Oryzias latipes: one gene and its partners. The main gene of each other region encodes a partner of the protein of the gene in region 3 in a complex. Links are inferred from orthologs where the notes say so. Each region holds a gene or a part of one and is shown on either strand. Other genes may lie near its edges.

The links. Proteins that work in one complex are often made in the same cells at the same time.
Region 1: arhgef6 (region 3) and pak1 share a complex: the UniProt entries of both Homo sapiens proteins name them as parts of the cytoplasmic complex. The link is inferred for Oryzias latipes from reciprocal best matches to the Homo sapiens genes ARHGEF6 and PAK1.
Region 2: arhgef6 (region 3) and dcp1a share a complex: the UniProt entries of both Homo sapiens proteins name them as parts of the cytoplasmic complex. The link is inferred for Oryzias latipes from reciprocal best matches to the Homo sapiens genes ARHGEF6 and DCP1A.

Annotation. Positions count from the first base shown.
Region 1 is NC_019871.2:4,498,747-4,503,481, reverse strand, and holds the start of pak1 (serine/threonine-protein kinase PAK 1), read right to left. Parts: upstream 3,266-4,735; 5' UTR 3,069-3,265; intron 1-3,068. UniProt on the Homo sapiens protein: Protein kinase involved in intracellular signaling pathways downstream of integrins and receptor-type kinases that plays an important role in cytoskeleton dynamics, in cell adhesion, migration, proliferation, apoptosis, mitosis, and in vesicle-mediated transport processes.
Region 2 is NC_019865.2:7,301,673-7,306,501, forward strand, and holds the start of dcp1a (mRNA-decapping enzyme 1A), read left to right. Parts: upstream 1-1,564; 5' UTR 1,565-1,603; coding exon 1,604-1,735; intron 1,736-2,029; coding exon 2,030-2,070; intron 2,071-2,557; coding exon 2,558-2,685; intron 2,686-4,808; coding exon 4,809-4,829. UniProt on the Homo sapiens protein: Necessary for the degradation of mRNAs, both in normal mRNA turnover and in nonsense-mediated mRNA decay. Removes the 7-methyl guanine cap structure from mRNA molecules, yielding a 5'-phosphorylated mRNA fragment and 7m-GDP.
Region 3 is NC_019868.2:11,026,962-11,031,093, reverse strand, and holds part of arhgef6 (rho guanine nucleotide exchange factor 6), read right to left. Parts: intron 3,392-4,132; coding exon 3,298-3,391; intron 819-3,297; coding exon 735-818; intron 636-734; coding exon 539-635; intron 353-538; coding exon 298-352; intron 1-297. UniProt on the Homo sapiens protein: Acts as a RAC1 guanine nucleotide exchange factor (GEF).

The DNA.
Region 1 (4,735 bases), on a different chromosome or scaffold from region 3:
CAAGTCATAGAAGCAAAAAAATACACGATAAGGAAGAGACGTACACACACACACAGAAGTCATTTCAGAGGACAAGACGCAGTTTTGGACGAAAAGTCCAACACAACATTTGTAGTAATTGAGCCATCAGATCAGCATTCATGCTTTAATAAATTCTTGGTTGGTCATTTTTTTGGGCTGAAATTAAAAAAACCATCCTAATCGTACACCAATCTTCACTTACAAAACATTTTAAAAAAATATATAGGCCAAACCAGGTTAATAGATAATGAATAGAGAATTCATTTTCATTGATGTGAACTAAAACAAGGTCAGGGAACTCGGATGCCCTCTGAGCACAATCCACAAGAAGAAGATCACCACAGGATACAGCGTGGAATGAGGAAGATGATGAAGACTGCAGAAAATGTATTGAAAGCTGCTTTCATGCAGAGTGGAAGGAGCTCCACCTGTAAACGTCTCCTCCTCTACCTCCTTATGCAGAACTTCAGCGCCACCCGAGATCAAACCAAAACTATCTGGCCTATCTTTTTGGTGCCGCGCTCCAAAGCGCTTCCTAACTTCTCCTTTTATCTGACGTCACATCAGTAAAGTGGATTACAAGCTTAAAAACGGAGTCGCGCCTTTCATCCCCATCCAGCCAGACAGCTTGTTTCAGAGAGCCGGAGTCGGGGTTGGTCTAGACGCCGTGCAGCTCAGCCGCCGCCGCAGCCTTGCAGGCAAACAGTCTATCCATTATTCAGCTGCTGGCAGCCTTTTCGGCCGCTCAACTGCCAGTCTCTCTATTCATGCCAGTGTGGTGTTTGAACGCCCACCCGGCAAAGACAAATATCTGCGATGGGGAAGATTTGATTTCACGGTTTCTGGTATTCAGAGGTCTTTAAAGCAGCCGGAGCAGCGTGGTGACTCCACAAACACCGACGACTCTGTGTTTGATTAGTCATCATCTGGCTGTAGCTCTTGGGGAATCATGAGACTGAAAACAGAGAAGCCTATGTGTCAGGAATCCAACCTCACTACCTGCACCTTAAAAGCTCCAAGCTGGAGCGACGTTTCGTTTAGCGTACTAACCCTCCAAACTAGCTTTAGTGTCCTTTTTCTTTTAAAGACCCACTACGATCAAAAATTGTGCTTTTAACATGTTCTTGAGGTACTTTTTTGGACAATAGAGCGTATTGATAAAGTACATTAGGCTTAAAAATTGCATTTCTGAGTATTTGTGATGTAGAAAAATCACGCTGGGGGCGCCACAAACTCCCTGCTTCAAGTCCTCAGCAACAGAGAGGGGGAGAGGGGGCGGGCTTGCCGCCTCCACTTGCTGACATTAGTGAATTTTTGTTTCGTAGAACAGGAGAACATTCCAAATAGTATTTACAGCGTCCGTTTCTTAATTTCTGAGACGAGAGTGGCTCATTGCACATTTCACTGTATTCCATAAAACAAATGTTTACGAGTAAGTAGGTAAAGTCCTTCTATCTTCTTTTCATTAGACAACTCCAAAAAAAAAAAAAAAGTCACATTGCATCTTTCACTCTTGCCGTATCCATGGCAACCCGTTTTGTTGGTCCACATCTCTACACGACTCAGATCCCAAACAAACTGCCCCGTGGTTAAAAATAACTTCCATAACAGGTGAGACGCAGCAGACGCGGAAAACACACGTGCGCGCGGCCGCGTCCACGTGAACTCCACCGTCCTGGCCTCCGTGGAGAGACGCCCGGCCGAAACCGCAGGGGCCAAATGGGTCATTAACCCCCGCCCGCCTTCGCCGCCCTCTGTCCTGCTGTCACAAGGTGTCAAAGTGACAAATGGAGGGGAGGGCATTCCCCATGCAAGCCAATGAGCCTCTCCTTTTGCCACACCCAGGTTTCCATGGTAACCGCTTCCATAAATGTCTATTTTAGTCTACAAAAAAATTAGGACATAAAAGTTGGAAGAGATTTGCATTTATGCACATGGCTGATGTTTAATATTATTACAAAAAACACTTTTTTTAATACAGTAAAGTGGTTTGTTGTGTAAAAAGTCATTATGTTTTCCCCATTTTCAGGAATACGATAAAAAAAAATAATTATGTAACTTAAGTTTTGGTGTCTTTTTTGTTTTGTTCCATGAAGTTACTATGAATCTTCACTAACATGGGATTTGGACCACTCAACCACAGCAAACACAAAAAGAGAAATAAACAGAGAGCTCTCAGTGATGGGAAGGGTGGGCGGGGTTTTAGGCGACACAAGTTTTGTTTTTTGTTGGGTTTTTTTGCTAAAAATATCACAATCATGAGGGTTTTTTTTAACTGTTGGGAATGCTTTGAAAATAGCTGAACAGATGATGGGAGGGGGGACTTGACTTGAATACGGCAAAGTAGAGCTGCACTCATATCCACATAGATTGCTTTGGCATAAGCTGTTGGTGGACGCAGCTGAAAACCTCAGGATGAAGAACAGTGCAGCGGTTTCTGCTGATCCACGTGGAAACTCCAGCTTCTGAGCGTTTCTAGCAGCTTGCAGGGCTCTAATCAGAAAAGTCACGTTTACAGAAATCAATGATTGTACTGCAGGTGATGGGAAAACAGCTATAAGGGGGTTTGATGCATCAACTTTGACCAAACATTTAGTAGATTTCTGTGCTGAGCAGCTAAAGTAAGATTAAAATGCAAATAAAGAAAAGAAAATTGAGACACTTTTTTTCTTAAATGCATGTATGAACTGGTAAACAGGTTCAATTCCCTGAGAGAAAAGTGGCAGATCTTCATTCATTCTGCCTGCTGTGCTGCTATCATTTCCCACGTCGTCCAGTCATTTGGGAAGCAGCTGGTTTAATAAAATAATAATCAACCCGCCAACGCCTATGGCTGGAAAATCCTGACTATAAAAGTCCACCAAGCAGCGCACGTTGATGGGGGTTATGTTGAGGGGGAAACAAAGATAACAGCGTCTTTCCAGCACATTTCCCACCAGCTCCCTCCTTCATCCACACACGCAGCGCACCACCATGCTGGCCGGCAACGCAGCCCATCAGCTGGGAAAACCTGCTGAAATAAAGTAGGGAAAAAAAGCTCCGCTCACCAAATGTCTGACAGCAAATTCAAATGTCGTTGCTGTCGGTTTGAGTGTTTTTCCTCCGCCGGCTCACAGCGTCTCATGTATTCCGAAAAGTCCTGCTCCTCCGGAGGCTCAGACCTGCTCCGCTCTGCCGCCCTCGCCTGATTTTTTTTTTAGCTATAAAACTTGCCGAGCCCAGGCTATTGTTAGCCAAGCGCAGAGAAGTCTGCTGCATACAAAGTCCCGCCTCCTCACCGGAGCGTTCGGCCACGCCATTGGTTGGTCGTCCACACTGCCTCATTTCTATTGGCTGACAAAGATGTCCGTCTAAACTCTCGGGGCGGGTCCCGACTCGCCGGCAAAACCGAACGACCTATGCTGCATTCACGTAACAAATAAAAAGTGCGCATTTGTAGACACTCACGTATGGGTTGTCCCTGCGTGTTGCCTTCATGTAACCATGTTATGGAAATATTAACTACAGAAAAAAAGGATATTTCAAACACACAGCGGTGACGTCGTTATTTAGATGAGCTTCACAGTGAGAGAGAACTCTCCTTTAAAATAATTTATTTTAGATTATTAAGTCAATAAGAAAGAAACAGATATAATTTTTAAAACTCAGATGACATAATTTTTTAATGAAATTGCTCGTCCGTAAGGTGAGGAGTGAACATTTCTCTCAAAAAAACATTAAAGAACAGAAAACAATCCTTTTTTCCTATAGAAAGTAACAAATGTGTACATTCAATAAATTGAGTTTATATTCCAAGTAAAAATAATGTATATAATGTATGTAAAATACATTTCATTAACATTTTAATGCAATTTCAGGTTTTGAATGCCTATCTAAACATTTGGATTCTTGACATTGATTCCGTCAAGTGGACCAATGAAACCTTGTTCAACGTTTTAACCAAGGTGAGGATTGCTAAGTTTGCCACTTTTGTAAATGTCTTCTGTTACAGATGTGTACTTTGTTGTACTCTTAGAAAGCCTTGAGCTTTTTATACAAGTACTACTTGTTGGTAATTGATCTTTGTATGTAATATCCCCTTTTGTGGAATCAATAAGGTTTTGTTCTATTCTTCTATAACATAAAGGGAGGTCATATTTTGTTGATTTCAATTGCATTTATTTTAAAATCTTCAATTAACTTCCACGTTTGACTCAAAGTGCTACACAAAAAAATAGAAAGAAAAAAATCAGACAGAGCTTTATTATAATGACTTTTAGGTTACATGTCATCCTATACATGTTTTTTTTTTTTCTGTGATGACTATGTCGTTTTTAACCAATTTAAAACCGCCAATTCAAACTTTGATTTTATCAACATTAAGTGTATTTGACAAGTGACTGTTTTGATGCAAAAATCCCAGTTTTTTAAAAAATAAATTAGTTTAGTTCCACCTCAGATTGAATATTTGTTTTAAACTGTTGAAGATGTCACACTGAATGTCAAGGTAATAAAGGAAAAGCTGAGGTTTTGGTGACACCCAGTGGTCTGTATTTCACATTGATCATGATTGCATCATCATTCATGTAACTGAAAGTCACTCAAAGCTCTTTTTATTATGACGTGAGAATCAGAAGACAATGCATTGTTTTATCCCTTGTGCTATCTTAGATGACCCCACCCTTACTTTGACGTGTTCTCCCTACCATGACAAAGGTGGATAAAGGTGGAAAGA
Region 2 (4,829 bases), on a different chromosome or scaffold from region 3:
GAAACTTTGAGGAGCACCAAGAAAAAAAATCCTCCCAAAAATTGTTAACATATATACATTCCAAAAACAGATGATCAAGTGTTTCTATATTTATGTCACAGAAAGAACAGTTATTTTCTGGAAAACCAAAATGTATACGTAGTAGTTCTTTGCACGGATAGACTGCATTCTTACATCAAAATCACATTTTAGGAGGAATTCAATGCCCCCCAGATGGGAGAAAAAGTTTGAAGGAATATGAAACAAAATATTTATTTCATTTTGCAGAAAAGCCCTAAGCCAATTTATTTTAATCATACTATTCAAACTTTCAAAGTCTATGGCTTTAAATCCACCTTCACTGTAATCCTGAATTATTATTCATTTTTTATGTAATGAGTTTTGTTTTTCCAGATGAAGTTAAAATTGCCCTGGTTTCTTGTTTTCCTTGCAGATTTAGGAATTGGGAGTGAATATGCTGGATAAATGAATCTGGATAAACAATCTAATTTAGTGAGAAACATTCTGCCCAGAATAGAAATGTCACGCTGTGACCACATGTTTAAATTTACTTACAATTCACACTTGCTGAGATTTAGTTTTAAACCAGTTGCTTTAGAATAGGAATCTGCGGTTTGAAAGATCTCCGGTATTTGATGACTCTCCTTCATGAATACGGCCGTGTCGTCTGCCAGCTTAGTAATGGCTAACTGTTCTCCCAGGACATTGAGTTTACAGAAACCAGAGTTTGTTATAAGTATTGATAACATTTCTGTTGCTGTTATAAAAAGCAACGGTGAAAATTGGACAGCCTTGTTTAATTCTTTTGTTAATTAAAAATCTGGGAGAAATGCCATTCGGTGAAATAACTACACTGTTCGTATCGTTATAGATTGTTTTAACAAAACTTATGAAATTAGGTCCAAATCAAAATAATTCTAACTAAAACGTTTATCCAGAACAGATTTAAATTAAACATTGAGACACTTTGTAGCTTTGGTTGTGATTCCCCTGAAACAGTTATCCATCTTTTTTGGTATTGTCCCAAAGTTAAGGTGTTTTGGCAGAAGATGTGTGATTTTATTAATGATAAAATTGATTCTTGTTTTGTCTTGTTTTGGAAAGATGTCTTGTTGGGTCTAATATAAAAAAATATGCAAAAGGACTCTTGTTTACTTCTAAATCTTTTACTCATTTTGGCAAAATTCCATGTTCATAAATGTACATTTTCAGGTAGAAAACCCTGTTTCACTGTATTCTTTTCTAAATTAAATCAGTATATCAACAGTATTCGAAATTCAGAGAAGCAAAAAGCAATCAGAACATTGTCTGTATGTGATAGATTCAGTATTTTTTCGTAGAGTTTAACCCCCTGGCTTATAACTATTTCTAGTCTTGTTCTTCTGTTTGTTACAGAAGTGTATTTGATATTTGCAGTTGTGGTTTTTTTTTCATACCTAAAAGTACATTTTTGTAAAATGGCATAATGTGCAATAAAGTTGAGCTTTAAAAAAAAATAGTGGAAGTGGGGAACTATTTTTGAGCGCCGCCACTTCCGGGGACAAGCGAAGTTGAAAGTGTTTCAAAAAAATTCGTCCGTGTAGGTACAACAGACCGATCCAAGATGGAAACTGTAAGTGCGGGACATATGATGAGCTTAGCAGCTCTTCAAAGACAAGACCCCTATATAAACAAATTACTAGATGTAACTGGTCAAGTTGCACTTTACAACTTTAATTCTAAAGTAAACGAGTGGGTAAGTTCATTAGTTACTTTATGATTTTCTGTGATTCGAATGAGGCTTTATCATCATGTTTACTTAGCTCATGGTGCTAGCCCTCGTTAATCAAAACGCGACAGTAGCACTATGTTCACTAAAGCTTTACCGTACGTGGACCTTTATGCTTCGTTATTTTAGCTAATGCTATTTCTAGTCCTTTCAATTTTTGTATTTTTAAATGTATTTCCTTTAGTTAAACTATTGTTCACAGATTCGGCAGCACCTTTTCAGAACATGTTTTGACTTGTAATGTTATTTTAAACATTTTAGGAGAAGACCGACATCGAAGGCACTCTGTTTGTTTATGCCAGGTAAGATTAGCACTTGAACTCGTAATTTGATTGTTTACTTCATCATTGGGTGCTCTGCGCATGTGCACAGGCCACCGTAGGCGTATTTGTAAACAAATCGAGAAAACTTGCCCCAGCCTAGATTTTTATGTTTACAGTACAAAAAATGAATTTTGCTCATCAAACAATTTGCCAAGAAAACTGTACATTTATGATTTAATATAACTGACTTTTTTTTGCCTCAGAAATTTTTAAATCAAGTCATGTGCATTTATTTTCTGTCTTTTTTAGAAAATCATTAGGAAAATTAACAATAAAACTTGTTTTTAAAAATTGCCAGATTATATTTACCTTTAAACAAAGAATTGTAAAAACTAGAAATGTTTTTATCAATTTTGAAATATCCAACATTTCACTGTCATAAAAGTTTTTTTCAAGTGTTTTTTAATTGCTTTGTCAACAGTAAACAATGAAGCATTATCAACAGAGTGATGTTTGTTCCTTTTAGGTCTGCTTCTCCTTATCATGGCTTCACCATCATGAACAGATTAAGTACAGTCAACCTTGTGGAGCCTATTAACAAAGACCTGGAATTCCAACTGCAGGATCCTTTCTTGCTCTACAAGAATGGCAACTGTAAGTGGTTTGAATAAAAATCCTCATCAAAGTATGGAAGAGTTGTAATCATTAATTTAATTCAAAAGTGCTTTATAATGATGTTCTATTTAAGTAGATTTCAAGGAATAGTGATCTTTTGAAGCTACAAGGTATTCATTAAAACCAGGATGAGGCTGCCCACATGATTATAGAGTGAAACGTCTTGAGTTGAGATGAAGACATGCTGATTTAATGCTTAGATCACATTTTTTGTTGAAAATAGGAAGTCGTAAAAATTTCTGACCACATTGTCGATACAAAATTAGAATAAAGCACAATTCACTGAGTAATCCAGGACATTTTTGCCAAAGTAAAATGGAAATTTTCAAGTTAACTCTTGTTTTTTAAATACGCCGTTTTATTTGCAGCTTTTTTGTCCATTTCCTTTATTCTTTGTGAACCCACCTTAATGTATAAGTCATTGTAGTGCACCGCGGATTCACAAACTGTCAAAAGTGGCTGTCATACCTAGTTTGTGAACAATCTATTGTTCACAAATGCTCAAATAATTCTGACAGTACCTCTGAACATTCTGGATAAACACCTCCCCAGTGTTCGGTGGAACATCTCTTCTCCTTTTTGCTTGAACTCATGGTGACTTCTTGAAGCATTAAGCAGGAACACTTTGTCATTCATGGCCTACAGCGGCCTCGTAAACAAGCGCTTCCAGCTGGTTTTGCAACAGTTATCCTTCGCATTTGGGTCAAAAAGCAAAAAGAGTTCAAAGTTTCATTCATCAAACTTCTTCTGCTATAATTGTTTTAGTTTGCTGATTGTTCAATCCTGTAATTTCCTCCTGGAAAAATGGGTCAAATAGAAAAAAATTGCGCCATACTAGATCTTCAAAAAGTAGCTGACAGCACTTCCACCAAGATAATCAATGAGGAGTCTGAGCAGAAGTTTCATCAAAGCGATGAACAAAGAATTCGACTGCTTTCCCATTTGTTTGCTGATGAGAAAAGTTAGCATAGCCAAGGTTAAAGTCAAAGTGGATTGTTCTCCTTTGGGCTTTGGTTTTCCCAGCAGCCTGGCAGGTATGGAAGCCATGATGCAGTGTTTTGTTGGTGATCCAATATAGTCTGCTTCTCCAGTAGCTTCACTCAAGTCTTCGGGGCTTTTGTCATCGCTTACTTCCTTTCTGTCAGCTTTAGTTTCAAAAAGATAAAATGAAGAGCAGTTTTCTCAGGAAACATTAGCTGATAATGCTCCTTGAGTTGAGGTGAAGATACATCCGTCTTGGCAACTAAGCTTTTCTCTGCAAACGTTAGTCGAAGTGGTTTTTTTTTGTTTGTTTGTTTTTCCGTCGGTTGGTTTTCAGTCCCGTCTCACTCTGTTAGTTTATCCACTTGTTTGGAGAGAAAAATGTTTCTGCGCTTTTTCTCCTTTAGTGTAGGTTTGGCTTTGAAGGTGGAGATTCCAATTCTGATCTTGAAAGTCCTGCAAAAGAACAACCCACCCTCTGAAGGAGAAATGTCACCATCAAAAACGATCAGGATCCAAATATAATTCTCCAAATAAAGGGTTTAAATGTTTACGTTTCGCTCCTGTGAGTGGTGCAGAGCTCACTGCAAATGTGCTTGGATGTGGAGAATAGTGTTGCAGAGAAACACTTGGACACACCTGTTTACACCTCATCCTTTTCCCTTTGGACGCTGATGGTGCTGCAGGGAGGCAAATGTTTTGGTTGCCGGGTTACTGTTGCTTCACAAGAGATTCAGACACCGGGATTTTACAACACACTTGCAACATAAAGTAATAACAACCAGATATTATTTTTACAGTTAAACCTTTTTGTAATTACATTATTTTACATTTCAGTAGTAGTTTGATCTGTGCGATCAAAGTCCTTTCATAAACTTCAGTTTTTAGTTTTCCACATCTGGTTCTTGGAAGAATTCTGTGAACTTCTTTTATTCTATCAGTTTTTTTACCCATTTTATTCAAACAGATGTTTAAACTTTAGGATTATTAAGTAAGCTTTAATATTTGATCTTGTTGTTGTTGAGAACTAATGATTAAATTAATCATTCACAGCCTTTTGGGGTTATTTTTTTGCATTACTGCTTTACCTAACAGAATGTCTGTTTCTATATTTCTTCTAGTGGGCATCTACAGTATTTGGT
Region 3 (4,132 bases):
TCAAGGTCTTATTTTTTTAAGGCAAACATGTTAAGAAGCATTACTTGCTCTTTAAAATGCAAAGGACACGTATTTAGGATAACCTCTGCAGCACTGAGATGTAGAATGTGAATGGATGATCTCACCCACATGATTCTGAACAACAAAGCTTGATGCCTGTAGTGGTCAGGCACATTGACTAAAGCTATAAATCCTAATTTCCTTTTCAGGAATCTACTCTTGTGCCATCTTTGAAAGTGTAACATGATGCTTGTAATGAAATTCCGTTAGAATGGAATTACGAGCAATAACACTGACCTTCTTCAGCTCATGAACCTCGTCCTTTAGAGCATAAACAGCGTCAACCAGACTCCTGCAGGTAACCAATAGAATGTCAACAACACATAATTGATTTGTTTTCATCCTCAAATGTAACCTTCAAAGAATTCTTTTTGAAAACCATTTTGTCCTTTTAAACAGAAGTAATCAAAATCAATCAACCAATTCTGAGAAATGTGTTCGTGCAACAATTAATTGTAACGAGTCACGACTTCCATACTTCTCCTCAGTAACCGTCTGCCCGTTGCTCTTCATTTCCTCCACAATGATTTTCTCTTCCTCCGGCAAAAGAACCTGAGGGACGCACTCTTTCCGCACTGTTGCACACACACAGAGCAACAGACAAAGCTTCAATTATGCTAGGAGCTGCTGCTAAAGGTGTGCAGTCTAAGTGGAGATCATGGTGATCCTCTGACCTGTGGCGGTCTGGAGGCTGACTCCTGTGCAGTAGGCCTCAATCACCCGAAGGATCTGAGCGTCCTCTTCCAGAGCAGCCATGCCTGTCGAGACCAGAGATGGACATCAGAAGAAGGCATGGCCTCTGGGTCATTCAGCACGTGTGGTTTACAACTCAGGGAAAGGAACTGTATTAATATCAACGTGTTCACAATGGCTGAGGAATTATTGGTGTCTGTACATCGTGAGGATTCATCATACTGTACTGCTGATGAAAACTGCACAGCACGTGACCCTGGTGGATGAAAATGCAGTGCAGCTCAGAGCACAATCATCAATTTGAACCCTGGGAATTGAACGAGGGTGTCAGCACCACAAAGCTTCAACCTCTTCCATTACCAATGAAGCTTTTCTGATGACCTAGACTTTGTCCTGGTCTGGGAGTCAGGTCAGATCAGAAAAGCAGCAAAAATAACAATTTCAGTTCCTTTTTTTATCTGCACTGCGAGATTCTTGCTTTTGATAAATCAACAACATTTTCTTCAAGTATTAATATGGACTAATAATTTAACAGTTTATGTGCTGCTGTAAATTATAATATGATATCAGTTAAAGTTATAGGGTGTTTTCATTGCATGGCTTCTGGCTGCACGGATGTACAGAAATGTGCAAACCTTTTAAGCAGATGTGGGAGAAAATGCTGTGGACGAAGAGTGCTTTTCAGAAAAGGAAGAATTAATCATTTATTTTTTTTAGTTGATCAATAAAACGCAATGAGAGAATCTGCTGTGGATGCAGGCTGTCTCTCCCACCCTTCTGTCTCCTGATGTAAATCCAGACACCATTCCACGATGTTGAGGCTAGAGTTCACGGAGACTGTGTCATCACTTCCAGAACTATTTGTTTTTCTTTCCGCTGAAGACAGTTCTTAATGACTTTTGGGGTTGTTCTGTTGCAGAATACATTCAGGGCCAGGCATGATGGAAATGCATGATTGATGAAGCATCTGCCTGTGTATCATTAATCCTGAACACATATCCATCTTTCTTTGCAGAAATGCAGCCCCAAATGTTCAAGGAACCTTCTTGTCCTTCAAAGTTGCTTGCAGACCTTCATGTTTCTTCTGCTATCCTCCCCTTTCACCAACAAACTGCTACTGCCATATTTTTCAGATTTTGACCCAATCGGTCCAGAACATCTGCTGGCATTTTTCTACAGCTCTATTCTTATGTTTTCCTGATTTCTTTACTCATTTGGCCTTGTTTCCATGTTGGAAATTCAGCTTTTTGGTGGCAGTTCTTTCATGAAGACACTTCTGGCCTAATTTCTCCCGGCATTAGAAGGATGTACCTGTGTTCTACTGGTTTTCTGCCAGTTTTGAGCTGATGGAATTGCTGGACATCTTCCAATTTTGAAGGGTAATTAGCTTGCTGTGTCTATCATCTGCTATACTAGGTTTGCCACGACATCTACGATCCTCATGCCGCCCGTTTCTTTGTGCCTCTTCAAAAGAGCTTGTGAAGTACATCTGGAAACCCCAGTTTGCTTTGAAATCTTTGTCTGGGAGAGACCTTGCTGATGCAGGAAAACTTACTTACCACGTATCATGTTGCTGTGCTCAATCTTGTCATGACATGAAACTGGCAGCAGAGTTTGCCTGTTCTTCACCCAGTTTTAAGCCTCCCACACAGCAGTTTCTGTTTCAATTTATGACTGGGTTTCAACCCACTGATGATAATTAGCATCTTTTTGGTATAATTAGCTCAAACACTAGACTATAATCTTACAAGATCCCTGATTTTGTGCAACTGTACCGCTCAGAGTTGATGCTGGTTGAAGGCAAAAGAAAAGAAAAATCAAATATGGATTGGATTTATATTTTTTTTACTTTTCTTTGCATTTTGTAAAATTATAAAAAATAGAAAGTGTCTTTGCATGTAATTTTCAAAGTATGTGAGGCCAGCCCTAATCTTAATGTCTTGGCCGCACAGACCCAGAGGAAGACGCCGTTTCTGCAGGAGATGAATCAAATGTGAAGAACACATTTCACGCACCTGGCTGACAGCTAATGGGACTTTAACTTTAAGTTTAATTTTAAATATGTGCAGCCAAAAACAAAATCCAGCCTTGGACACACTTAAAATTCATGCAGGCAATGCAGCAATGTGCATCTTGGCTGCACGTATAACGTGTGGCCAATATCAATATTTTGTGCTGGTCGCACGTAAATATGTGTGAATAACATCAGCCTAAAAATAAAACAAGCACTATTTATATTTCTGAAAACTTTGACTACAGCATTTTTTTTCATCTGCCTACAATTCCTGCACCTTACTGGTTCTTTCCCAAGGTGGTGTACACCAGTGTATCTGATGTCTAATGTTTCTTTGTATAGTATTTTTACACTTGAATGCTTTAATGATTCCCTTTGAAGAAATTAAATTTTATTTTATGTGGATATAACCAAAGAGAATATTTGAAAGATTTTGTTTCCATTTCCATATTTCAGCTTTCGATAATTCAATTAGGTTTTTTTTTTAATTCATAACAAATACACTGAAAACACTGAGGTGAAACTCTTACTTTTTCTCATCTGAAATTCATCATCAGATGGCTTGCGCTCTTTCTTCCTGTTGCCAGGTAGGAACTTCTTCATCGGCCGCGGGCTCTTGGAGTCCTGGAGGAGTACGGGAAAACAAACCGAGCTCACGTCTACAAACAGAAACGTTCAATGCAGCGCACAAATCTAAAAGCAGAGGCTCCACTCCAAACACAAGGCAAGCTTAAAGGGATGTACATCCAGTGTGAGCAAACATTCGAGACACAAGAACCTTCAACAAACAAGGTAGCAAGCAGGTGTGTGGCCTGACATCACTGTTAAGTGCAGCCTACCTAGCAGGGGATTACATATGTGAGACAATAATGGAGAAAACAAAAACACTTTCTCTTTAAAGCTATTATTCAAATTAACCACAGGTAATGGAGACACAAAGGTTAAACTTTTTTTTGACTCATTGGCCTTGTGGTAGAGTATCGGCCATGAGACTGGAAGGTGGTGAGTTCAAACCCAGGCCGAGTCTTACCAAAGACTAAAAATGGGACCCAATGCCTCCCTGCTTGACTTTCAGCATTAAGGGGTTGGATTGGGGGAGGTTAAACCACTAAATAGTTCCTGAGCGCAGCTGTGTCTGCAGCTCACCACTCCCCCAGGGGATGGGTCAAATGTGGAGGACAAATTTCACACACCTAGTTGCCTGACAGTTATTGGGAGTAACTGTCTCCTTTCAGCTCAGGCAGACTTTAAATTAAGTATTTCCTCTGCAGAACTAGGTGTGAAAAACAACTGGCACCAGCTAGAAATAAAATCAGCTTTCTGCAGTGAAAGCAAGAGCAAAAAAAATGTGAATGATGCGCAAAG